Neurospora crassa OR74A: one gene and its partners. The protein of the gene in region 1 binds, or shares a complex with, the protein of each later gene. Links are inferred from orthologs where the notes say so. Each region holds a gene or a part of one and is shown in the gene's direction. Other genes may lie near its edges.

Region 1 (3,521 bases):
CCCAAGACAGAAAGCAAATATTGAGAGACCACATTTTTGAGGCCCTGAGAGGCTGTCCAATTGACATGAAGAGCAAAAAGCTCGGTCGCCCAGGTAAGTTTGTAGAACGAACGACAATACCCCAACTGCAGACCTACGAAAAAGCCACACATTTTCATCAACGGGAACCACTGTGCCAAAAGATCACAGAGTTCCGTTATGCCAGAGAGATCAGTTAGGGAACCCGACCTTATATAATACCTGTAGGCTACAGCAGAGGGTACTAGAGGTTTGCGGCCTGGGCGGGAAGGGATCTTGTCATCCGATGTTCCCGTCGGTGAAGGGCGTGCCGACCGATTGCCGGTGGCAGGAGCGGTGGCAGGTACCTGGCGCGTGGTTTGGGCTTGGGACTGACATTCCATGCTTGAAATTCAGACAGACTTGAGTGAAAAGCCATTTCGGAGCGGCGCTTCTCTGCTTGACTTGGAAAGTTCCATCACGATCGGTTATGTTTATCCCGCGAAATGACTGCACGCTGTCCCTTGCTCTGTTCTGCAGTAAACGTTATCCGACAGCAAAGAAGGCTTAACAATTACATTCTTTCTATCAGCCATACAAACACCTTCAGTAAATCAAAGTAACATTCAGGCAATTCCAGCGTGTATGTCACTCATGCCATTCTCAACACTCCCGAACCCCACCAGCTCGATTGGCTCATGGCTGACACAGAACCCCCTTCGACACGCCCTACTTCAGGACTTCTGTGTAATTCTAGCGTAGGTCGCAGTTGAGACCCATCTATAATAGGTTTCTAGTATGAGCTGCTCTTGGCTGCCTGTTTTGCGTTGCTCTCAAAGGCAATACTTTAAGCATCCCACAGTTGTACTTGCACAATATTTTCTCAACGCACCTCCAATGGCCTCGGGACACTCAATTTATGATCATTCCGACTGGGTGGAAAAATTCCCTAAACTCGCACCAGATGTTCTTCAGCCTGTTAAGCCGCGGTACAATCACTCTTAGGGACTTTCACCGCACTGAACCTTTGACATGTTCTTGCATATCCCGTGTAAGTGATATCGAACATGGATATTTTGGAGCATCACGGTCCCTTGGCGAAGGACGTCGGATGTGGACCAGCTGCTGACTCAGCCGCCCATTCGCAATTGACCGAGACCAACGAGGGCGCACGGTCCACCCCCGCGACGCAGGTGTCGGAATTTGGCTGGGCGCGGGTCCTGAACTTTTGTTTTCGGGGAAGTGCCGTTGCCGTGAGGAACGGAATCCGGAAGACTGCCCGACCCAGACCCAACCCACTCCCGTGTCCTCCGCCTCCGTCATGCCTCCCAGGTTACCGCTCGCCCAGGCGGCGCGATGCTGCCAGGCCTCCCTCACAGCCCGCCCTTCGGTCCCAGCCTCGTCGCCGACGTCGTCCCTCATTTCGCTCTTTGCTGCCCTCTCCGTCCAGACCAGGAGCGCATCCATCCTCGCCAGCCTGTCCGACAACCGGGGCGCCTACCACAAGCGCATTCGCAAGGGTCGCGGTCCTTCGTCCGGCTATGGCAAGACTGCCGGTCGCGGTACCAAGGGTCAGAAGGCCCACGGTCATGTTAAGCCATGGTTCCAGGGTGGTCAGACGCCCTTGATCGTCTCTCACGGCCGCAAGGGTTTCGTTAACCAGTATGCCGTCCCGACTTCCCTACCTCGCTTGCTATGCGCCATGGCCAAGAACTCTCCAGCATGCTATCCGATAACCTATACCTACCAGATACATGATGGAGACTAACCATTTGTGTCTTTCATAGGTTCGCTGCCGACATGTCCGAGCTTAACCTCGAAAAGCTTCAGGAATGGATCGAAGCCGGCCGTATCGACCCCACGAAGCCCATTACCCCCAAGGAGATCATCAAGTCCGGCATCATTGGCAGCAGCATCAAGGACGGCATCAAGCTTCTCGGCCGCGGCAAGGAGAGCTTCAAGATCCCCGTCACCATCACCGTATCGCGCGCGTCCGCCTCCGCCATTGAGGCCATCGAGGCTGCCGGCGGCAAGATCGTCACCCGATTCTACACCAAGGAATCGCTCAAGCGTCTGGTAGAGGGCAAGTCTCTTCATACCGACAAGCCGCTGCCGGTGGGCAAGGAGCACGTGGAGGAGATCCTGGCGCAGGCGCGATCGCTCAAGAAGAAGTACTACCGCCTGCCGGACCCGACCAGCCGTTGGGATATTGAGTACTACAGAGACCCGGCGCATAGGGGCTACCTCAGCCACCAGCTTGCGCCTGGCGAGTCGCCCAGTTTGTACTTCAAGGTACCGACGGGCGGCGAGAAGGTCAAGGTGGTCAGGGCCGACAAGGTCAAGGCCAGCAAGACCGGGGATGTGGCGTCGGAGAAGCTCTTCTAATGAACACGAACATTGCCTGGGATGGCGGTTTTTCCGAGACTCGTTGTTGCGCTCTTCCTCGTTGTTGTATGATAGGTACTGGGCCCGTTCATGGCTCTGTGCTTTGTGTTGTATTATTATCATCCGCGTATTGTCAGTCCAGCGTCTTGCTCCTCGGATCAGTTCTATTTGGGTCCTTGTACATCATACAGGTCTCACCTACGGGAGTGGATTCCCACATGCGGCCAGCACTCCACTTGCTGACAACGCAGGTGAATCATGAAACTCCCTTGATTGACGTGTTCCTGCTTTTGCGATCCATCGTAGTTCGAAGATGGGCTTTATAAAGTAAATATCACTTGGCTGCGTGTTGACATGGTCCAAACGACGGATCTCGAAGACTTGCTGTCCCGTACCTGGCAGTCGGAAGAACAGCCATTGGCCAGTGACATGTCAATCCCGCAAGCTGACCCCGGTCAAGTCCCGGTCCTGGGCGGTCCCCGGCCATTCCTTCCAGGGCAGCTTCCACGGGGACGGTGAATGGGGGCATTAGAAAATATGGGTCTGATCACGTGCCAGGTCGCTTTTGGTACCTTCTCCATACCAGCTTGTAATTACGTCCGAAAACAGCCGTCAATACCCGACTTCTCTGCAAATTACCAATTAGTGTTAGGGTTAGTTAGGGTTAGTTAGGGTTAGTTAGGGTTAGGGTTAGCTCCGGGGGTGCAGGGGGCCGGTGAGAGGCCCCCGCATGTGAATGTGAATCGTTAATATTGACATATGTCAACCATATGCCGACCATATGTCTTGTAATTACGGTAATTACACGGGTGACTTTCGATACCTTCGGCTTAAAGAAAGTGGAGTATGCACGGACCAGTCTAATGCCCCTAATCACCATGCCCAGCTTCCACAGCGGGAACCGTCCACTGAAGCCACTGTATGCAGCCCTCCCGAACGGGATTGTGTCAGCTTTGGAGTCGGCGCGTGCCCTCCACCCACTCTGCCCGCCGCGGCGTCATCATTGATGCATCTTGACTTTTCTTTCCTCGAGCGGGAGAGACCAAACTTTGTCGTTGTCAACATCACGACCTGCTTCAACTTTTTTCTTCATTTCTGTGTTTCATTTTCTTCTTTTTCTTCTTCTTCTTCTTCTGGCT
Region 2 (3,158 bases), on another chromosome or scaffold:
CGGCGGGGGTTGAGAGAGGGGGTGGAGACGTCGTCGACGAGGTTGGTTGAGCACCACCGCTGGGGGCAGCAGCAGTAGATACGGGTGTTGAGGCGCCTGATCCGCGGTCTGATGCGGCGAGGTTGGCGGCGACGGCAACGTAGGAGGCTAAGAGGAGCTGGCGCTCGAGGCGCTGGGCGGTTTCAAGGTTGCGGCGCGCCGCGAGTTGGGCTTTGCGGAAGGAGGTTCGACAGCTGTATTTTTTTGAGACGCAATTTTGTTAGGTACGTTGTTTATCTTCATCTTCATCATCGTCATCACCATCCAGGCTGAAAAGATGAGAAACAAAACTCACCCCTTAAGCTCGGCAGCCAAGCGTTGCGCGCCCTCCTTTAACCTCGTCTTTTGATGTTCCGCCTCACTCCCTGGGCGGCCGGAGCGCAAGTCGATAATCTCCTCCTGCAGCAACTCCAAATCCTCCTCCTCCTCGCGCAAGACCTGGCTGATTTCGGCGCTCAAGTCAGCGGCCTCACTGTTGGTGGTTCCATCGGCGCCAGTGTTCGCGAGACTGCTGATGCTGTTGCTCAAAGGAACGGAACCGGGCTCGAATTTGAGCGTGGCGAGACGCTCGATGAGGTCCTTAAGCTGGCCGGTCGTCTCTTGGAGGGCCGTGAGCCGCTCTTGAAGCGTTTCGAATGTTGACATTAGTGACTTGTTGTATTATGTCGGTATTGCATTCGTAGGGAGTTGACTCGGTAAAGGTAGATAGATATGTGTTGGAAAAAGGTGGATGTGTAACAAATGGTTTCCATGGATCGTAGTCGGATCCCACTTAGGTACCTGGTGTTGATCAGCAGCTGTGCTGTTGTTGATAATTAGTGGAAACCTGGCCTGAAAGGAGAGCACTGTAGCGATGTTCAATGGAAGTTCTCGGTGGGCGTGGCTCTTGCAACGTCATCCTCAAGGTCAATGAAAACGGATCACATGCGGAATTCGGTAACGGAGTTCAAGTTACAACTCGCTGGGGCAAATGGGAGTACGTACTGTTGCGCTGAAGGAACAAAGCACAAACTTACACACTCAGGGCTACAGACTAACACAATGTAATAGAAGGCCAGAAGTGATTCTCTTCCCGTTCAGAAGATTAAAAAGATGTATTATGTCAATTGATCTGATGTAGTGTAAATATGAATGCAAAATCGAGCCTGACACCGTTTGATCCCAGTTGGCTCCCAACCAATCACAGCCCATCTCTCACACGTAGCACGCGCCGTCCCGCATTCTCCGTTTTACAAAAAACACCCCTCCCGGTCCCCGGCGCAATCGGTACGTACCTCCAGTAATTTTTGATCGCATCCCTCCTCCACGCTGCCGGCCGGCGCCAGGCACGAAGACCGAATCGAAGTCCAAATCGCGACACACAAGCTACGTACCCCGTCCGATCCTCCACAGAGACCCGTCTCCCGTCTCCCGCGTCTCCGTATCCGTCCCCGTCCGGTGTGCAGTGCAGTCCCGTCGTCGCAAATTCGCAAAGTCGCAGTCAGGCCTCCGCGTTCCTCCTGCTTCTTCTTCTTCTTCTTCTTCCTCCCCGAACCCAACCCCAACACGACCTCAGGTCACCACCACCACCACCCGAGAGACCTCGCCCAACATGCTCACCCGCTTCATCACCGACGTATCAACGCGCTTCAACCCTTTCTCGGCCAAGGCCAAGGCCGCCCGGCTCTTCCTCTCCTTCCTCCCTCCCAACGCCCGCTCCAATGGCATGAACATCACCACCCAGCTTCTGCCGCGGAATTCCACCGAGACTCCTTTGCTCTACGTCAAGTTCAGTACGTTTTCCCAATGTCTCTCTTCTTGTCACTTGCAACTCTGTCACACATCGACGGACCGCCGTTGCAGTTGGTTGTTGCAATTTGGATCATTCCGGCTGGAAGGCAATCAAGAGTCGTTAGCTGTGAATCAAGCCGTAGTCTAACGTATTTGAAAAAAAACAGAGGACGGCAAGGAAATGAACCTCGACGTTGAGAACATGGGCATCAAAAGCATTGTCGAGGAGGTGGATCGCCACTCTCGTATCCTTCAGAAGCAGGCCGACTTGAACGACGGTTAACCGAATCTCTGTCTTTCTTTTCTTCTTCAAAACCCAGCAATCTCGAGACGCCCTTGTTGTGTTTTGATCCACCAATCGAACTTTGCGGGTAAAACGAGGGAGACTGAGACTAGGAAAAAGGAGGGAAAAGCCACGGGAAGAGCGACGAAAGCCCATCTTGTCTTGATACCCAGACTACTTGGCTTTGGTCCGTGGTACCAAAATGACGATTGACCGGGAGGAGAAGAGGAAAAGTCTGGATATCTAAAGGCACATTCGAATCACCTGGGTAAAGCCAGCGAGCTTGGAGCCGGATACCTGACGACCTCTCTGAGAGATCTGTAAGATCGCCTTACCAGCCAAAAAGAAGAAAACAACAACAAAAGATATGAACCTGTATTTGTATTGGGCAAGAGGTTGTAAGTGTACACCAACAGCATTGGGAGGCGTTAAGGGGCCGGCGATTTTCAGTTGGCAAGGCAGTTTGGGTACCTGTTGTTATAGACATGCGTATATAGCACCTCTGCCATGGATTGATTCACACACATCACGGTACGCCCATTTTGACAAAGTCAAAGTTGAGATCGGCCTTTTTTTTTTTTTTTGTTTTTGTTTTGGCGACCGTGTTTCCTTCGATGGGGAATTCATCAACGGTATCGGTATATTTCAACGGCGAAACTCATGGCGCAAGAATGTCGAGCATCTCCTCGACAAGTCCCTATCCCACGGCATGGACTACAGCCTCAGAAATGGCCAATCTCTGACCGCGCATACCTTGTTGCAAAGACGTTCGACTCTACGCAAAACAACGCATGAGGGTAACACCATGGAGGATTGTTCACGACGAATTGACCAATACAACAAAGTGCCAATAAATTATCTTTATTCTACCTCAACAAACGAACTCTCTAAGCGGAAGCACCGCTGATGAAGAACCACTTGTCGATGGAGCTATCGATAGGGGCAGGGGGGAGATTCTCGTTGGGAGGGAGGGGAGGAAGCTGGTCAGGGGCAACACGGCTGCTGGAGTGCTGGACAGTGACGTTGGTGGTGGAGACACCGCCAGGGGCAGTCTTGCCGGTGATGA
Region 3 (3,470 bases), on another chromosome or scaffold:
CTGACATTGGGGAATGGGAAAGTGAAGGCAGATGGACAGCTGCGGTTTAAGCAGGTGCCAAGACCGTTGCAACGGAGAGAGTTGCAAACGCGGGGAAAGAAAGTTGGGGAAGTTCGGGACAAGAGGAAGCAACGGTACGTTCGGGAAGGTGAAAGCGACGCAATAAAGCACATCGATCCGCGTCGGTCGGACGAGAAACTCGCGCCGCTTTGGCGAATGGCAAGGGTTTGGTGATCCTTACCTCCGCATGTCGCCGGACCCCACGCCGACTGCTGAACAGGGATTGAATAATTTCTCACGGCCGCGCTCGGCAGCCGGTGACGGGCGGTCTTGAGGGCGTTTGACAGTCCGGCAGCCATCGATGCGATTGTCGATCTCTTTCTGATGAAGTGTACGTATTGATGGATGAGGGGAGGAGGGTCTCGATACTGCCGGGTGGGGGGGGACAGGACTCCCGGAGATGCCGTCAAAGGTGAACGGGAGAAGAACTTGTCGTTGATGGTGCGCTGACTCGCTCCGAGAGTACCGAGAGGACGGGATGTGATTTAGGGCTGAGTCCAGTTTATGTCAGTTGGGTTGGGTTTTCAAACCGCATTCGACACAGCAGACGCAAAGACACTATGAATGGGGGGGGGGGGGGGGGGGGGGAAAGATAGCACGCAGAAGAACACACGAACTTTTTTTTTTTTTTCTTTTTTTCATCAAATGTAGCAACCCAAACTGAACTAATGAGCTCCGAAACAGGAGCACGGAAAGCGGTGTGGTCTAGAACTTTTTGTTACAAAAGAGTCTTCGTTCCGGTCCGGTTTTGCTCCCGCGATCCATTTCTGGCGGGGTCGCAGAGGTCCGAATCGAGACTACAGTCTTGGTACAGTATGGAGAGTCAATCAAACAAATGCCATATTCTGATTCGGACTGCTATCCGCCAGACGAGGCGGTATCGCTGAGCTGTTTCGTAGCCGCCAAGATAAGCTGCTGCTGTGCTGTGCTGCCTGACAAGCCAACGTTAAATCCGGGCCGTTGTATTCTACCTCTAGAGGTAGCTGCGGCATGTGTAGGACCAGTGGACTATATCTAGTATCCAGGAACTATCCTTTTCGTCGACTTACACAGTTCCCTTCCAGCGCCTTGTTGGCGGGACGGGCATGATTACAGCCACAGTGCTGTCAACGGTCACCATGTTGAAATTACGGTACACAAATATCAAATTTATGTTCTTGAATACATCTCTCTCAGTGTACAAGCCCAGCAAAGGTGTTGATGTTGTCAATAAATTTGTGTGAGATGTTCTGATAGATATCACGCCCGTTGTGTTTTGGCCAAGGCCTCTGGGGTTCCTCGGTGAGCTCTCAGCTCACTACACTCAGCTTGTTCCTCACCTTGCCTTCACCGATCCTACAAGTACACTAAACCGCGGGCAGCCACCTGCCAAGCCCAGCTAGGAGCGCACACGACCCACCCACAGCCCCACCACGGCCCACGCACCCCCGGCGGGCCGGCAGGCAAAATCTACAATCGCAATCGCAAGAAGCGCGGACGACCCGACGTCGATTGGAGAGCTTCCGGCGCAAAGACCGTGCTCCGTGAATCCGCCCGCCCTCCGCCCGCAGTTTGCGAACCTCTCCGTCCGGACGAGCCCCAGCCCGTCGCCCGTCGCCGTACCGCACTTGATCCAGTCCAGTCCAGGCGCGCCGTTGCACACCACAACAGCGCAACAAAAGTCGTTCAACATGGCGAAGAAGGGTAATCGACTCCATCCTCACCCGTGTGTCTGCAATTACTGCTTTGTTTTCCTAAAGGGAAAAGCGATGCAATGGGGAAACCGGAAACCGAAAACAGAAGACGATAGTTGCTGATAGGTAAACAACAAACAGCCAAGTCCCGCATCATTAACGTGCGCCTGATCTCAATGGCCATGACGGGTTATTTCTACACCTTCACCCGTCCCCGTACCTCGCTGCCTATGAGCATGCTGAAATACGATCCGATCGGTATGCGCATATCCTCTCCCCTCATTCCTATCTACCTCTTTCGCTTCCAACCACCTACATGATTGATTCGGCGGACACGACGACACGGGCATGATATGGAACTCTTTTTGGTTGCGGGCTTTCTCGATTTGCACGATTCGAAACACCCCAATACGCTTCGTCGAACGGACCTTGGGAAGCTCGCTTGGGACTGGGACTAGGACTGGGATCAGGCTGGGACGCAACAGTTCAAAGACTCGGACGATGGCATAACGTACGGACCTTCGAGAAAAGAAAAAAAAAAAAGCAACCAGCCAACCAACCGGCCAACAGAGAAGAGAGGAGGGGACGGAAGAAACACTTGCCTACGACAGACAATTTTTCCCAATCACGGATCTCGAAGAGGAAGGAATACCTACTAACCCTTTCGCCTCTCCACCATAGTTCGCCGCAAGGTCCTCTTCCTCGAACAGAAACGCAAGGGCAGGTCATAGATCGTTACTCGCCCCCGGGCCTAACGACCGTCGAACGACCGAGAGCCAGAGCGAGAACGCGGAGCCTGCGATACGGAATCAAAGAGCGTAGCGGCGAAGCAGCGACAAGTAAAAAGCTACAGCACCCCCTCCACGGATTACCACGTCACACCAAGTTACGATTTCGACCGGGTTGTGTTTCAAGCAGATCACCAGCAGACAATGGCCAGTGCTGGCGAGTGAGTTGGAGCTGGAGCTGGAGAGGGGGGTGGACCGGACCGGAACTGGACTGGATATATGGAGAAGAGAGGCGCAAGAATAAGATGGGGTCCCTCGTTCCATCCAGTCTCTGGTCGTGTATTATTACTGTACCACCGATCCATCAGTATATAACATCACCCTGTGAGTTATGGATTGGCACCATGGAGCGTTTGTTGCTTCTTCGCTCTACCGATGGGCCAGGTTGATTAGAGAATGTACAAGTCAAGAGATAAGCACAACGCCCCTCGGCCGTCGGCAATGCTGGGCGTGACCCAGGTTCACTGCCAAGTGGCTCTCCCTTCTCTTGTGTTGTGTGGTAAGGATAACTCTTCTATCGCGATCAGACAGTCTGTCATGACACCTCGACATCTTTGACTTTTCTTGCCATCGTACATCGCTTTATCTCATCTTTCTATATTTTCGTGGAAATCAAACTTTTCATTAGTCACAAGACCCGTCTCCCAACATTTTACAGGCGTTCTTTCACACTCTTCTCGTCGTATACATATTGAATCTCAATTCATTCGAAACACAGTCTCCAATCCACACAAATACGCCATGCATCGACATATGGATCATAACTTATTCCCAGGCGGAGGCAGAGGCAAGTCATCTCCGTCTTCTTTGTTTGCATTCTGCGAGAGGGTCATGGAGTCTTGGGTCTCATCATTGGCGCCCCCGTATCGCGAAAGTGGCTGGGACTGAGACCGTGATTGGGACTCGCCGTTCGTTTGACTGACCGAGTTGGTGTTTTCCGCAGGATCAA
Region 4 (3,021 bases), on another chromosome or scaffold:
GGAGGAGCTCCTCGTCACTGTCCTCCTCGGCATAGTCGTCGTCCTTTTTCCTCTTGCTGCCACCCTTGAATTCCGCCGCAAATATGTCCTCTCCAGCATCGTGCTCATCATCCATGTAGGCATCGCCATCGTCATCCTTGTCGTAACTCTTGTAGGCCGTCGTGGGTTTCTTCGTAGTCGAGGTCTTCTTTGTAGTAGTCTTGGGAGGCTCTGGTGCTTTGGCAGCGGGGGTGGCTTTCTTCCGCGGGCTTGTTCGAAGCGCTACTTTTGGTTCTTCTGGCTCGGGTTTTGCGGGTGTCTTTTTCGGTGTTGACTGGGACGCAGCAGCAGTTTTTGTTTTTGAGGTTGCAAAGTACTTGGCAGCATCGGTTTCAACTCCTTTTACGGGTTCCCTAGATAGTCTGTCAGCAGGAATAGGATGACATGGAACTGAGAGGTGTTTCATAAACACTTACGCTACTTTCTTCTTTGGCGCAGCCTTGGTTGGCTTTTTGACTCTACACATGCTGGTTAGATGCTAGTTCTGAGAAGAGATGCTTTTCACTAAGCTTACTCAACAACCTCGTCATCTTCGCTGTCCTCAACAACCTTTCTTGGCCCTGCGACAAGATTGTTAATATAACGTGATAAGCTTGTGATGGCGATCATGGTTCAAGCTTACTACCCCGGGTCTTCTTCTCCTCTTCCTTCTTGGGTGCTGGTGTTGCCGGCTTAGCAGGCGGCGCGCCACCTTTTGGACCAAAAAACGAGCGAATGTCGGCAGGCATGATGGAGTATGTGAGAAGAAATCACTGGATACAAAATGATAAATTGAATGTGTCAAAAGGTTGGGAAGATGTAACAATCAGATGACACCAGCAAGCATCTTCTTATAGTGGCGGAGTTGGGAAGTAGGGACTTTTGTTCTTGGTGTCTGAGTTGTCCAGGCAGCTGTCCTTCTGCCTAACAAGTGTTGTTGAACAAAAGGCCTAGAAGGGTAAAGAGCTAACGGGTCGACTCTTGTCCCTTGTAAAGACGGAAGTAACAATTGAATGATGAGTGAGACGCGAAGGTGAAGTGGATGACGCGAGTCTGTGTCCGGGCTCTGCTCCCCTGTCGCGACTGGTGGGGCCTTGTCCTACAAGAATTCGCCAACTTGCTGCCTTGAGCTACGCCCACGCAGCTGTATTTCTTGTGAGGAGTCAATGAATGAGTCCCAGGTCCCGCTTGTCTGCTGTGTCCGGCAGATTCCATGTCGCGGCCGGCACCCGACACTTTTTGGTGGGTCACAATTTTTGGAAGTGCCGTCCGTGCCCCGTCCGCGCCCGCAGCACCTTCCATTGCAGGTAGTCGCTCTGCCCGGTCCCCGTCTCTGTGCGCGCGCTGCTTCGGGGAATCCGTATCAATCGTCGTCGGCGACCGGCATCCAATTGGACCCTCCCTCCGTCCTCCGTCCACCACTCGTCCCCTCCCCGGTCCGGTCCACACCCAAACCTTCAACACAATGAAGCACAACGCTTCCTCGGCGCTCCTCAGCGCCTTCCAGGGCCTTAGGATATCCTCGTCGGCGACTCCCTTCCGTGCCGCGTCGCTCGCAACCTCTGCCGTCCGTCGCCCCATTGCGCCGACCCCCGTTTCCGTCGCCTCCCATGTCCGCCTATTCTCTGCGACCGCCATCCAGGCTGGTTCGTGGCTCGAGCCCAACCTCAACAGAAAGAAGAAGATGATGAAGGGAAGGCCCAGAGTGCCGACGGGTGGTTCGACCAAAGGAACAACAGTGGTTTGGGGAGATTACGGCCTGCGCATGCGCGATCACCACCGCAGAATTAGCGCCCAACAGCTCAAGCTCGCCGAGGACACCATCAAGCAGAGGTTGCGTGGTCAGAAGTACCGCCTGTACAAGCGCGTTGCTTGTAACGTCGGTGTGTACGTCAGCGGTAACGAGGTGAGCAGCTGAACAACCCACAGCCCGGGAAGGCCGGATGCCGACTGTTAGCGGACATGAGGCTCACATGCATTTCCGGTGTAGATGCGTATGGGTAAGGGTAAGGGTTCGTTCGACCACTGGGCGACCAGAGTTGCCGTCAACCAGATTATCTTCGAGATCAGGGGGCAATTGCACGAACAGGTCATCCGTGATGCCTTCCGTTTGGCCGGACACAAGCTTCCAGGTAATAACAGCACATGCTGGCCCAAAATCTTTGCGAGGTTGAGAAGAGTAGAAAACTGACAAGTCATAGGTCTGTACGAGTTTGTGAAGAAGGGTGACCCACCAGTGGTTGGCATCACCAAGTTGGAGGATGGCCTCACGGTGGAGGACCTCAAGAACCCAAGGAAGAAGTTGTTGATGCCAGAGATTACCCAGAGTGCTGCGAGCACATCAAGCACTGCTGCTCCTCCTTCGTAGAGGTGGAGAACCCTGAGCCTATTCTAATTGTAACACTATGTAGAACAACAGAAGGGCCAATGTGCAAAAGAGTGTTGCCATGGCCATTTCATGATTATTATGACGACGTAACAAGCATCACCACTTTGATTTCAATGCTCTGAGAATGTGTCCGTAAGCTACTACCAGTTTACCTGGATGGGCCAGAGCACCACATCGAGTCAACAAGCAATGCTGGCTTCCTAGATATACCCTTTCAACCATGCCATGAAATGGGCCCTATACTAGATGTCGGTTCATGGAAGATCCAATATCCAGCATCGGACGTTGCAAAACTCAAAGAGATTCAAGATAGCTGCCTAGAATACTGATGGCGAAAGTGGGCAACTGTCTACCCCAGGGCCTGTATAAGCGGGTGATATGGTCCGTGCGGCCATCCCCCGTCATCTGTTAATTGATTTTCTGGACGGCGCGTCAACTCGACGCGTCTCCCATGCACCTCCAATCCAGCATTTCTTTCCCCTTCCGTTGTCAACCCATTTTCCTCTCCACAATATCACCACACCACGATGGCGCTTATTGTTGACAAGCACAGGCCGAGGTCTCTCGATGCCCTCACCTATCATACCGAATTGTCGGAGAGGTTACGGTCACTT
Region 5 (3,571 bases), on another chromosome or scaffold:
CGTGACGTCGGGAACGTCCGAGTCGATGACGACGACAGTGAGGAGGCGCTCGCCCTTGTCGAAGACTTGCATGCGAAGTGTGGGTGCAACCTCGGTCACGCGCGAGTCGAGGATGGCTCCCGGGGAAACCTGGTAGCCACGGAAGGAAAGCTTGACGTCCATGGTCGGGTCGAAGGCGGGCAGAAGGTCGGGAACGACGTGGAACTGCGAGATACGCTGCGCAATGATTTTGTAGTCCATGGAACGCCAGCGGCGCTCGGCCATGAAACGGTAGACGGGCTTGGTCATGTCACCTGGAGGCAGAGAAACGTGTTCGTTAGACTGAGACTTGCGAAGCGGAGTAAACGTCATAAGAAAAGGAAAGGAAAATACAAACCTCTGCCATCCTCGAAACGCCTCTTCACTTCGGGGTCGTTGATGTCGGCCAGAATCTTGAGCTCCTCAATATACTTCCTCAAGCTCTTGATCCGTGTCTGCTTGGCGGCCTCGCCGCCCTCGAACTCGCTGGCATCCCGCGCCTCGATCAGCTTGATCTTCTCCGTCTCCTTGACAATCTGGGCGATTTTGGCCGCGCGGTCCTGCTGCAGGATCTTGCGCGCATCCTGGAAACACTGGTACGGCAGCTGCTCGAAGGGGAGGTTGCCGGTGGTGGCCAGGGCGGCCCTTCTCCTTCGCGACCCAAGCTCTGGACCTCCGACTACTGTGTCTGCTACTGTCGCCTTAGCCTCGGTTGCCGAAGGAAGGGGTGGTGGTGTTGTGGTGGAGTCGACAGGAGAGGTGGTGGTGGTGGTGGTGGCGCCCTCCTCTTTGCGCATCGGGGTCGAGGAGAAGGGCCTAACGGCGGCAACGGCGACGGACCGGGTCGAACATGTCGCAGCGCCGGGGCCGGTTTGCCGGAGACAGCGGACGAGTGGCCGCGCGACCTGCTGACACGTCGACATGGCGGGTGGGAATGTGTGCAGGCGGGCCGGAGGGGAGAGTATTGGAAGTGCGGGATCGCTCTCAATCGAGAGGAGCTGCACTCAAGGTTTCGTCGACGGGGAGGACGGGGTCAAGGACGGGACAGGGACGGGACGGAGGGTTCGTTGGTCCTTCAATTCGTTCCATGCTGCAGCCCACCTGCCCGGACTCGAACTGCGGCCAAAATTTCGTGGACCCCGGGGCCGGCAGCACAGTGCGCTCATTGGAAGTACTTATAGTGGGGGTTGCAGAGTAGCGGGCGTGCCCCGCGAGAAAGCTCGCCAGAAACGGGTACTCGATGGCTGCAGCGCACTGTACGTGCACGTTGCCCGCACTCCAGATCTTTTTTCTCCAGACTCCGTCCAGTCCCCTCGTCGGCCGAATCGTTGCGACTTGACTGGGAGGACCGGCGCCCGCGACGACCACCGCATATCCCGTCAGAGCCCCCGTCTCGGTCCCGTTCCGTTGTCCCTCCCTCGCCCCGAAGCGCGCTCCACGTTTCCGTCCGCACAGGCCCGTGGTTGCTAGTCTCTCTTTTCCTCCCGCGAACAACTGCCTCGAGCACCACCATATCATACCTGACCTCCACTACATCCGAGTTGCATTAACTTGTAACTCCCGTCACCTTGCCATATCACAACGCCGCCATGGCCGGCAAGGGTCTCAAGAGCCTCAACGAGGCCATGAATGCGCTGAGCATTGCTTCCAAGTCATGCAGGGCACTGCCGGTTTGTCCTCCATATGTCCACCGTCTTGCTACTGACCCGCCTACGACTTTCGCTCACCAGTACAAACCATGTCCACTAGATGCGCCAATCCTCTATTCTTCCCTGCAGACGGTCGATGGCCTCCGTAGCCACCCCTCCTGCCGCCAATATCACAAGATCGGTCTCGGAACCATGGCAACCCAGTATGAGCACCAACACGACTGCCAACCTCGACAACATCGCCCGCGCTGGAAAGGTACTAACCCACGATTCAGTCACCAACGTTCCTGTGACCGTCTATTCCTTCCCCGAACTCGAGCCGCGCTCCCTCGAATCCTACTCAGCCCGTCACCTTCACCTCCCGCTGCGTCGCGATATCCTCCACTTGGCCGTCATCTACGAAGGTGACTCGACACGACGGGGCATGGCGTCTACAAAGACACGCTACGAAGTTCATGGTTCGCACAAGAAGATGAGTCCCCAGAAGGGTACCGGTAACGCCCGTCGTGGTACCCGCCAGTCACCTCTGATGAAAGGTGGTGGAAAGACCTTCGGCCCCAAGCCCCGCGACTTCAGCACGAAGCTTAACAAGAAGGTCTACGATTTGGCCTGGCGCACCGCGCTGTCCTACCGCTACAAGCGCGGCGAGCTCATCGTCACCGAGGACGGCCTCGACCTCCCCCTTCCCAACGATTTCCTCTGGCTTGCCGGCGGCGGTAAGCTCAGCCGTGAGCTTGAGGACGGCTACGTCCGCAAGTGGGTTCACGAGTTCATGACCAGCTTGAACTGGGGCAAGGAGGCTGGCCGGACGACCTTTATCACGGGCGACAAGCGCCCCAACCTCTTCACTGGATTCGAGTTGGCCGGTGCCGAGGGTCGCGCTTTGGAGTTGTGGGATGTCGATGTCAAGGATCTTTTGGAGACGGGCAGGATAGTGATTGAGCGCAGCGCGCTCAAGGAGATGATCGAGGACCACCAAAGCGACCTCGTCACCCGTGTAGCAGTCCAAGGGCTCCGCCAAAAGGGTCCCAATCTGGGTGAGGTGCTCGTCAGGGCGCCGAGATACTAGACAGGGAAGAAGATGGAGAAGAAGCAGCAGCAGCAGAAGTGAATGTGTGTGTGCAACCACCGGCAACACTCTTGTACCATATGAATCGCGCAAGGAGGGCGGACTGAAGAAGACGGTTTGTCCAGCACGATGAGTGTAATATTCATGTTCCTTTGTACGGTGTACCTACACGAGTTTCCCTTGTTATTCGGAAGCAATTGGCTTGCCTTGTTCCCTCTCTGCATTGTGATAATAAGCGAGAACTGTGTAAAAGCCAAGGGGTTAAGTAGAACGGTATAGTAGTCTGTGACTGTGACACAGTTATGCGCAACTAAAATGTCATTTCTTGGAGTGAAGTTGCAGTGTTTCATTCACCACTCACTACTGCTGGCAATGCCTGGGCAGCCTTGCCGGTATGACCCCTTTGCCAACAGGAACTGCAGTGAAGTGAACAACTGAAGATGGAAAGAGGACGAGATGGAAGTTGCAGCCAACAGCCAACAGCCGACTGCCTGAACAGCTTGGCAGTCCCGCCTCAGCCCGCTGCCGGCCCGCCATGGAATTCCTCCCGGAATTTGCACTGGTGCACGGACCAAGGCTCGGGACCTCCCCGCGCCTATTTAACCAAGCCAACCCTTCCCCCAATCTTCAACTTTCCTTCTCCTTTTTTTTTTCCTCCATCCAAGTGCAGGGGTTTTACGCGTATCAGTGAGGATTCGTCCGAGATCGCGTTTTTGCTAGTTGAAAACTACATACCTGACCGCTCTCAGTTGGCTTCGGCTGGCTGGGGAATTTTTGGCAACCCACAATCCTTTCTCGGACTGGAGATTTCTTCATTTTTTTCTTCATCTTTCAA
Region 6 (4,145 bases), on another chromosome or scaffold:
TAAGAATAGAGGTAGTTTCCTCTATAATCCATTACAGAACTGATCCACATCAAAGTTAGCTTTATTCACGACGTAGCCAGGCTCTGGAGCACCAACGCAAGACGGCCAGCGGAGGGTAACCGACGTTGAATGTATTCCGAATATTGCATTACTACCACCAACCGGCCGGCCTCAACCAAGCCAAGATGTCCTGTTATTCCATCAAGCCTTTGGAAGCCATGTACTGTATGACCAAACGGCCGGGGTGGCAGGGCCTATGCCCAAATTTACTTTTTCTCCTGTGTCGTCCCGTTCTCCTTTTGCGCCCGCTCATACTCGATAATCTGTCTGCTCCAGCTAGTGGAGGTAATATCGGTTGCGTCAGCTTAAGAACATCCCCGCGGTCTGCGCTCGCGGAAAACGTTACGCATGTATAAAAATTTGGATGGGGGTCTGTCTGCCAGGACATACTATCTGCTGGGATAAAAGCGACCAGGCTCGGGCATCTTGTGACGGTACTCTTTCTCGGCGCTAAGCTTCCAGACTGCGGCAGTGATGAGGAAGACGACGCCACCGAGAACAGCCGTGTTCTTCTTCCAGTTGGCCGGCTGGGCGTACCAACCACCCGAAGGCGACCAGACGTGTTTGGGGTAGCTGGAGTGAAGGGCGAGGCAACGATTAGGACGGATCCATGACACAACGCAGGCTGGGTTGGACAGAATGCGCGGAGGGTTTGCGCATGTCGAGGGCGATGAAACTCACGGAACTTGGGGACCGCCGCCCTATAGACAGGAAAAATAGAGAGTTAGCAGACACAAAACATAGTAGTGATGATGGCTATTCTAAGCAATCGGGTGGATACGCACCATTGTGATGAAGTTTTGGGATATGTGGTGAGGTAGGTTGGACGTTCAACGAGGAATGATTCTTTCCACCTCGCAGTTAAGCAAGATCGGTTTGTACTGTCAACTTTGCGATGCACTGCGAACGACGGCACAATAGTGGTGATGCTTCAGCGGGAACAATTGGATAGAAGGACGAATGATGAATCCGCCTACAGGCTGACGAGGGGCTAAATCGCATCAACCATCCAGGCCTGAAAGTCACCATGTCACTCGTCCTAACTGGGGCCGAGGGCGCATGCGACAGACGGGCGGCGGGCGGCGGGCGGGCAGCTCCCGCTTGTCCACCACAGTGCACCGTATGCTAAACAGACAGCGCAGATAGTGGATTGGGGTCGAAGATGGATCTTGTGGGGACCCTCACTGGGCCAACAACGAATCATGTCAGCCGGCTTTTATGTCTCGGTCTTGGGGGAGTAACCCCTGCGCTTGAGCACTGATTCACGGCTCTGGGTGGTGGGCTTGTCTAGTGTACGGGTGGTGAGCGTTCAGATTGGAGAACTTTTTTTTTCTACCCGTGTTCGACGGCCGGCCGAGTCTGAACGAGAACCCATCCGATCAACGCGCGACTCCGACCGGGATCCCGAGTAGCTTCCCACCCCGCGACCACCGGCTCACCACCTGCCCGTCCGATTTCCCTCACTCCATCCTTTTCTTGGCAGGGCCTCCAGACGGCGCACACTTACGGAACCTGGGCCCCAGCACGTCAACACCCGGTTGTCGAGCCGACCATCACCCATCAAATATATCGCCCATGAAGAGGATAGCAACGCCCAGCTTGACGAGCCGGCTGCTCGTCGCCGCTCGCTCCGGAGTGTCGCCCGCCACTGCCGCCATCCGATCCCGATCTGCAATCTCGGTGCGATCGCAATCGACAGCTGCCCTCGCTCAGCACGATGCATCCCACGATCTCAACAATGATCGGTTCCCCCCGCTTGAGCCCCTCCCCCCCGCGGCCGAGTCCCTACCGTCGCCCCTCCCCGAACGGGCCTTGACCTCGGCCAAACTGGCCGCCCTCCACGCCCGTTTGAATCTTTCTCCCAAGATCCCCTTACAGACATTGGCAAGGACACTGGTCGACGCCTCGGCCGACGAGAACCCGCAGTTCAACAACGCCAACCTCGCCTTCGTTGGCCAGACCCTCATCAACTACCATATTGCCGAATGGCTCCTCTGCAAATACCCCCGTCTACCCCAGGGAATTCTCTTCAGTGCCATGAAGGCTTATGCCGGACCGAAGCCCTTGCTCCAGATTGCGCGGTCATGGGGTGTTGATACCGCCGCGGTGCCCGGCGGCGAGGTGGATCCCGGTCTTCTGCAGTTCGATGCCCTTAAGCCCGGCGTCGCCATCACAAATTTCGGCTACAAGCGTACAGAGCTCGCCTACCTCGAGAAGTTCAAGTGGCGTCGCGGTATGGCCTCGCGTGTCGTTCTCGACGACGACTTTGGTGATGTCGTGCGCAGCGACCCCAAGGTTGCCGCCGATCTGGAGAAGGCGATGGAAGAGCAGGATCAGGACAAGACTCCCGACGAGGAGGAGGCCGAGATGGTCGCTAATGAGCAGGACCAGGACGTGAGCTACGACCGCTACGGCAACCCCGACACCCGGGCCGCTGCTGAGCGGGCCCACGCCTACTTTGTGCGCGCCGTCGTCGGTGCCATCTACGCCCACTGCGGCCGCGAGGCCGCCAAGGCCTTTGTCAAGGCGCACATCATGTCGCGCACCCTCGACATTGCCAAGCTCTTCGAATTCAAGTACCCCACCCGCGAGCTCGCCGCGCTCTGCGCCCGTGAGGATTTCGAGCCCCCCGTGGCTCGTCTCCTCTCCGAGACGGGTCGCCAGTCGCGCACCCCCGTTTTTGTTGTCGGTATATACAGCGGCAGCGACAAGCTCGGCGAGGGCGCCGCCTCCTCTCTCGACCACGCCCGCTTCAAGGCCGCCATGAACGCCCTGAAGGCTTGGTATCTCTACAGCCCTGGCGAGAACCCTCGGGTACCCAGTGATATGCTGGAGGAGGGTGCCAAGCCCTGGACGCCAGCATACATTGATATGGGTGAGGTTATCTCCCGCTAAATGAGGAGGCTGAAACACGGAGCATGGCGGCGGACAGTACGGCAGGGCAGTAGAGAACTTAGGAAGTGTATGAAACGAAAGGTAAAAAGAGAGTCGCAGATGGCCTGCTTACACTCTCGGTTTTATTGGTTGTGCGGCCCATCAACTCGGGATAGGTTCCCCTTGTGGAAATCGACGCAAGAGGATCGAGAGGGAAACAAAACAACGAGTGGATTTTGTTGGTGTGGTCTAAAAGCTCAGCTTACCTTTCCACTCTTGTCCTGTCCTGTTGAGAGCGGGCAATTTCCGTCCTGCGAAGGAAGGGGATATTAAATGGATGGTCCTCTCCCATCCAGTCACTCCCTTTCCTTCCATTGTTTCTTGCTCTTTTTGCCAAAGACGAGATGTTGTATACAGATTTGCGCGCAACGGACATACATGTACACACACGCACACCCCCGCCACATATACCAATACAAAGGGGGGTTGGGACGGAACGGGGAATGAAGAGGGTCTGGATGGTGGCTGCTTGGCTCTGCTTTCGACAAAGAGAGACACAACCCTCGTCGGGGTGGCATCTGTGTCCTTCTTTCTCAGTGTATAATACCAAAAAAGTAGCCGAGGCCAGGGAGAAGGAAGATCATCGTCTGTATGTGTAGCATTAAGAAGTCAAATTTTTTACGAGGCATCAACGAAGTACATGACATGATAAATCCTTCCTCTACGTATTGACTGCTCTGGCATGAGGAGAAGGCTGTGTAAGAGAGAATATGGTACTACGCAATTTACACGCATTGTACAATTCCAGGATGTGTAAGCCCTTGTTTTGTATAACAAGCATCGTAAAGGAAGAAATGGGAATACGCAACCGGCAAGAGTAAAAGACCGGACGACGAGATCGAGCCTGGAAGTTCCTCCCAAGCTTGCGCGCCTTCCATTCATCCAAACTAGAGGTTGTTTAGTATCTATTTTGCCTTGTGCTTTCTTCACATTGCTCTTGTTTATCTTATACGTGAGAGGAAGATGAAGTTGGTGAGAGGGGAGATGAAATGTGGACTGTTCTCTCTGTAGTTGCGTCCTCACTTTCTCACCCCCTCCTGGTACTTTGTCACGACGTTTCCAAAAACACGTTCATCAGAACTTGCGACCTGATGCAAAGGGATCAATGAAGGAGACTTTGACAACTATAGAATTGGCATATTGTTAAGGTA
Region 7 (3,207 bases), about 3.8 Mb from region 1:
ACAGCGGGCGTTTCCTTGTCTGTGTGTGCTGGTTGAATGTCAAGAAGAGGGGGGGGGGGGGGGTCAAGGGGGGCTGGTCATTACCTCTCATGTCCTTTTCGCGTTCGAAAACGACAAAAGCATAGCCACGATGGGGCTTTTTCTTCTTGTTTGGGTTCTCATCGGCGTGGGTATCTCTGATGATACGGATCTGTTTTTTGGTGTCAGTTCTTGTCAATTAACACACACATAGCTGTGAAATCATGATATAGGAGGAGGGGGGGTTTGCAAACTCACACGCTCGATAGGACCGTAGCGGCTAAACTCGCGCTCGAGATCCTGTTCATCAGCACGGTAGTCAAGACGCGCTACTATCAACGTCTTGAAAGCATCTCCTCTGATGTTGGGATCGTCATTAGGGTTGTCTACAGATAAACGCCATCGGTTAGCAAGCCGCACGACAGCAAGATCATGATCAAGTAAAGGAGTAGCGAGCACAACTGCGCGTAACGTTGGGGGTTTGCCGCGTACAATTCTTGGGACCCTCGGTCAACAGCTTCTCCAAAGCTTCCTTCTTCTCGCGCTTCTTGCGGTCGCGCGCCTCCAGCCAGCTCTCGGTGGGATGGTACTCGTATTCTTGCTCGTAGGCCTGCATGGCAGGAAGGAAGTCGGCAACGGGGGTGATGAAGGCCGACTTGCGCTCTTCGGGAGCAACATCGCAGGGCGGCACCCAGCGCAGAGGTGGCCGGGGCGCAAAGAGTGCGAGGAGGTTAGGCGGGAGCCGGTCTGTCATTGTCGCTTCACGTTGTCGCTGTTGTAGCTGGTCAAGTGGTGTTTTTTTGTTGATCTTATCTGTCGTCGAATTATGAAATCGATATGTCGGAAACCAGGAAATGTAGGTCGTCTGGCGTTTGATCCACTGTTCGGAAAGCCGGGCGAGAACAGTTCAATAAGGCTGAACGCTGTTACTGTTTGCCAATTCTTGTGATGGCGATAATGTGGTGTTGTCGGTTTGCGAGAAAGGTCAAACCCGCATTTTCGCGACTTTGCTTGGACAGCTGAAGACGAGAGACAGAGGGTGGGAGGCGGGAGCAGCAAAGGGCCCTGTCTGGTGTTGTGTCGTCCACTGCCTGGCAGCCTCGCAGCGACTGGAGCTCTTGCTGGGCAGCTTTCTCGCGCGCTCGACCACCGAACGACTGAGTGCGAAAGAGGGACCGTGCACCCTTAGGTCGTCTTCGTTATCACTACGCACACACCCAAGGAGGAGTGCAATCGCGTGAAATTGATTCTGCCAACCGCTTTTGCAGTTGGGCGGGTCCCCCACCCCCAGTGCCGTGCCGGCGCGCGACGGGGCGGGAGTCTGGCAGAAGTTCAAGTCGCACCCGCCCTCCGGATCATGAACCCTGGTGGACTCGGACTTGTTGCAAGGCGAGGACGGCGGCGAAGAAGAAGAAGAAGAAGAGCATCACAACAATGACGGTAAAAGCATTGACGCAGATCTCCTCTGCCGGCCGTGTAAGTTAGACCGCAGCCTGAGCAACTAAAAACTTTAATTTTCAGAAAAAAAAGAATGCTAATCGTTGATTGTTTTGTATCTAGAATGGCGTCGGCGCATTCGTCTTGCAGTGCAAGAAGTTGGACATCCACTACAGTGACTGGGCCGGCAGCTCCCGGGGCATGAAGTACGTTTAGGATTCTTCGAATATGGACATCGCAACCTCATTCCCGATCGAACATCTTTCACATATACCAATACCTCTACACGTCCAACCAAACCGACATCCTCCCAAGATCTCGAGACCATCCCGCCGTCCCCGACCATCCATCCATCCATCCATCCACCACTACATACCCTTTTTCTCGTCCCTCCTCGTCCCTCCTCGTCCCTCCTCGTCCCTCCTCGTCCCTCCTTATCCCTCCAGTCTCCCTTCGCGACCTCAGCAGACAGACTCTTTCACTAACACTTACTTCTTCCTCCATCTAGCGGCTTCATCAAATCCCTCCTCCCCAAATTCGCCGCCGCCAACCCGCAAATCGAGTTCGTCGTCTCTCCCCGGCCCGCCAAGCACCCGATCCTCATGGGCCACTACATCAACGGGCGCACCAAGGCCATTTGCGTGCGCAACATGGAGCCGCTCGAGATCCTCAAGAAGGCCGAGCTCCTCCGCGACGCGAGCGGCGAGAAGCCCCAGAAGTTCAAGAAGCCCGTCACCAGCACGAACCCCAGTGTCAGAGGTGTCTGGTCGCCTTACCATGGGCAGGGTATGGCTGTATAAAGCGGAAAAAGGGGGAGGAGCAGGTGCTGGTGCTGGTGCTGGAATGGACTGGATCGGTGCTGGGCTGGATTTGGTGCTCGGCCGGTGTTGGCTCGGTTCAGTACCAGGTGGATTGTATATACCATGTTGAATGTATGAATATGAATTGAGGACATGAAAAGGGTTTCTGGATGTATCAAGGGTTTCGGTTTGGCTATATGGTTGTGATCAAGTCCTTCCAGAGCTATCGAGTTCCCATGATGAGTTGCCCCAGTTCCAAAGAATCTGACATTATCTTCTGGTGCTTGGTGGTTGACTGTTGATATTGGAACTTGGGATGAACATCTAAGAGCGAATGGAGGAGCCGCGGAGTTGCGGTATCTGGTGTCACAGAAGTCATGAACGGGCTACATGAAGCGAAACTACGTTCTTCAATCCCAAATCGAACAAAATCAGGACATTTAACTATTTTATATTTTCGCCGTGTCCTCAACACCATTTCCCAGCCTATATGATTGCGGCTGTAGCAAAGCTATAACTTTTTATGGGCAAGTAATTTACAGGTTGGCGTTGATGATGTCCACGACTGCATCATATCATGTTAGCCATCTTTCTTCCTCTCGTTGCAACAATGGCAGGTAGTACTTACACTCGGGCTTCAAGCTGGCACCGCCAACAAGGAAACCGTCAATGTCCTGCTCCTTGGCAAGGTCCTTGCAGTTCTTGGCGTTGACAGAGCCACCGTAGAGGATGCGGGTCTCCTCAGCAACCTTGTCGCTGACGTTCTGCTTGAGCCAGCTGCGGATGGCGGCGTGCACCTCCTGGGCCTGCTCCTTGGTGGCGACGAGGCCGGTGCCAATGGCCCAGATGGGCTCGTACGCGATAACGACGTTCTTCCAGTCGTTGATCTCCTTGGCGAGAGCGGCGAGCTGGTTCTCGACGAACTTGATGGTCTCGCCGGCCTGGCGCGTGT

What was found.
Region 2: NCU05714 (region 1) and NCU00952 share a complex: the UniProt entries of both Saccharomyces cerevisiae proteins name them as parts of the mitochondrial large ribosomal subunit. The link is inferred for Neurospora crassa OR74A from reciprocal best matches to the Saccharomyces cerevisiae genes MRPL10 and MRPL44.
Region 3: NCU05714 (region 1) and NCU17114 share a complex: the UniProt entries of both Saccharomyces cerevisiae proteins name them as parts of the mitochondrial large ribosomal subunit. The link is inferred for Neurospora crassa OR74A from reciprocal best matches to the Saccharomyces cerevisiae genes MRPL10 and MRPL39.
Region 4: NCU05714 (region 1) and NCU06768 share a complex: the UniProt entries of both Saccharomyces cerevisiae proteins name them as parts of the mitochondrial large ribosomal subunit. The link is inferred for Neurospora crassa OR74A from reciprocal best matches to the Saccharomyces cerevisiae genes MRPL10 and MRPL16.
Region 5: NCU05714 (region 1) and NCU01474 share a complex: the UniProt entries of both Saccharomyces cerevisiae proteins name them as parts of the mitochondrial large ribosomal subunit. The link is inferred for Neurospora crassa OR74A from reciprocal best matches to the Saccharomyces cerevisiae genes MRPL10 and YML6.
Region 6: NCU05714 (region 1) and NCU08299 share a complex: the UniProt entries of both Saccharomyces cerevisiae proteins name them as parts of the mitochondrial large ribosomal subunit. The link is inferred for Neurospora crassa OR74A from reciprocal best matches to the Saccharomyces cerevisiae genes MRPL10 and MRPL3.
Region 7: NCU05714 (region 1) and NCU07549 share a complex: the UniProt entries of both Saccharomyces cerevisiae proteins name them as parts of the mitochondrial large ribosomal subunit. The link is inferred for Neurospora crassa OR74A from reciprocal best matches to the Saccharomyces cerevisiae genes MRPL10 and MRPL51.

Annotation. Positions count from the first base shown.
Region 1 is NC_026503.1:604,545-608,065, forward strand, and holds NCU05714 (mitochondrial 54S ribosomal protein YmL10/YmL18), read left to right. Parts: upstream 1-1,193; 5' UTR 1,194-1,318; coding exon 1,319-1,659; intron 1,660-1,784; coding exon 1,785-2,382; 3' UTR 2,383-3,021; downstream 3,022-3,521. UniProt on the Saccharomyces cerevisiae protein: Component of the mitochondrial ribosome (mitoribosome), a dedicated translation machinery responsible for the synthesis of mitochondrial genome-encoded proteins, including at least some of the essential transmembrane subunits of the mitochondrial respiratory chain.
Region 2 is NC_026501.1:6,595,368-6,598,525, forward strand, and holds NCU00952 (mitochondrial 54S ribosomal protein YmL44), read left to right. Parts: upstream 1-1,336; 5' UTR 1,337-1,630; coding exon 1,631-1,811; intron 1,812-1,976; coding exon 1,977-2,092; 3' UTR 2,093-2,658; downstream 2,659-3,158. Other genes in the region: NCU00953 (hypothetical protein), read right to left, coding at 1-233, 335-684; NCU00951 (inorganic pyrophosphatase), read right to left, coding at 2,980-3,158. UniProt on the Saccharomyces cerevisiae protein: Component of the mitochondrial ribosome (mitoribosome), a dedicated translation machinery responsible for the synthesis of mitochondrial genome-encoded proteins, including at least some of the essential transmembrane subunits of the mitochondrial respiratory chain.
Region 3 is NC_026506.1:2,292,454-2,295,923, forward strand, and holds NCU17114 (hypothetical protein), read left to right. Parts: upstream 1-1,441; 5' UTR 1,442-1,730; coding exon 1,731-1,743; intron 1,744-1,874; coding exon 1,875-1,991; intron 1,992-2,414; coding exon 2,415-2,464; 3' UTR 2,465-2,970; downstream 2,971-3,470. Other genes in the region: ala (alanine aminotransferase), read right to left, coding at 242-359; NCU03974 (hypothetical protein), read right to left, coding at 3,280-3,470. UniProt on the Saccharomyces cerevisiae protein: Component of the mitochondrial ribosome (mitoribosome), a dedicated translation machinery responsible for the synthesis of mitochondrial genome-encoded proteins, including at least some of the essential transmembrane subunits of the mitochondrial respiratory chain.
Region 4 is NC_026502.1:2,003,427-2,006,447, reverse strand, and holds NCU06768 (mitochondrial 54S ribosomal protein YmL47), read left to right. Parts: upstream 1-1,247; 5' UTR 1,248-1,483; coding exon 1,484-1,924; intron 1,925-2,008; coding exon 2,009-2,150; intron 2,151-2,219; coding exon 2,220-2,386; 3' UTR 2,387-2,521; downstream 2,522-3,021. Other genes in the region: NCU06767 (replication factor C subunit 1), read right to left, coding at 1-392, 456-497, 554-599, 662-767; NCU06769 (activator 1 38 kDa subunit), read left to right, coding at 2,935-3,021. UniProt on the Saccharomyces cerevisiae protein: Component of the mitochondrial ribosome (mitoribosome), a dedicated translation machinery responsible for the synthesis of mitochondrial genome-encoded proteins, including at least some of the essential transmembrane subunits of the mitochondrial respiratory chain.
Region 5 is NC_026505.1:4,618,903-4,622,473, reverse strand, and holds NCU01474 (60S ribosomal protein L4), read left to right. Parts: upstream 1-1,215; 5' UTR 1,216-1,607; coding exon 1,608-1,688; intron 1,689-1,767; coding exon 1,768-2,736; 3' UTR 2,737-3,071; downstream 3,072-3,571. Other genes in the region: NCU01473 (mitochondrial large ribosomal subunit YmL35), read right to left, coding at 1-293, 377-941. UniProt on the Saccharomyces cerevisiae protein: Component of the mitochondrial ribosome (mitoribosome), a dedicated translation machinery responsible for the synthesis of mitochondrial genome-encoded proteins, including at least some of the essential transmembrane subunits of the mitochondrial respiratory chain.
Region 6 is NC_026504.1:2,488,259-2,492,403, forward strand, and holds NCU08299 (mitochondrial 54S ribosomal protein YmL3), read left to right. Parts: upstream 1-1,345; 5' UTR 1,346-1,635; coding exon 1,636-2,955; 3' UTR 2,956-3,734; downstream 3,735-4,145. Other genes in the region: NCU08300 (uncharacterized protein), read right to left, coding at 267-336, 451-633, 742-761, 846-848. UniProt on the Saccharomyces cerevisiae protein: Component of the mitochondrial ribosome (mitoribosome), a dedicated translation machinery responsible for the synthesis of mitochondrial genome-encoded proteins, including at least some of the essential transmembrane subunits of the mitochondrial respiratory chain.
Region 7 is NC_026503.1:4,406,055-4,409,261, reverse strand, and holds NCU07549 (mitochondrial 54S ribosomal protein MRPL51), read left to right. Parts: upstream 1-1,271; 5' UTR 1,272-1,452; coding exon 1,453-1,494; intron 1,495-1,578; coding exon 1,579-1,661; intron 1,662-1,963; coding exon 1,964-2,255; 3' UTR 2,256-2,707; downstream 2,708-3,207. Other genes in the region: NCU07548 (hypothetical protein), read right to left, coding at 85-190, 277-404, 511-772; NCU07550 (triosephosphate isomerase), read right to left, coding at 2,792-2,820, 2,884-3,207. UniProt on the Saccharomyces cerevisiae protein: Component of the mitochondrial ribosome (mitoribosome), a dedicated translation machinery responsible for the synthesis of mitochondrial genome-encoded proteins, including at least some of the essential transmembrane subunits of the mitochondrial respiratory chain.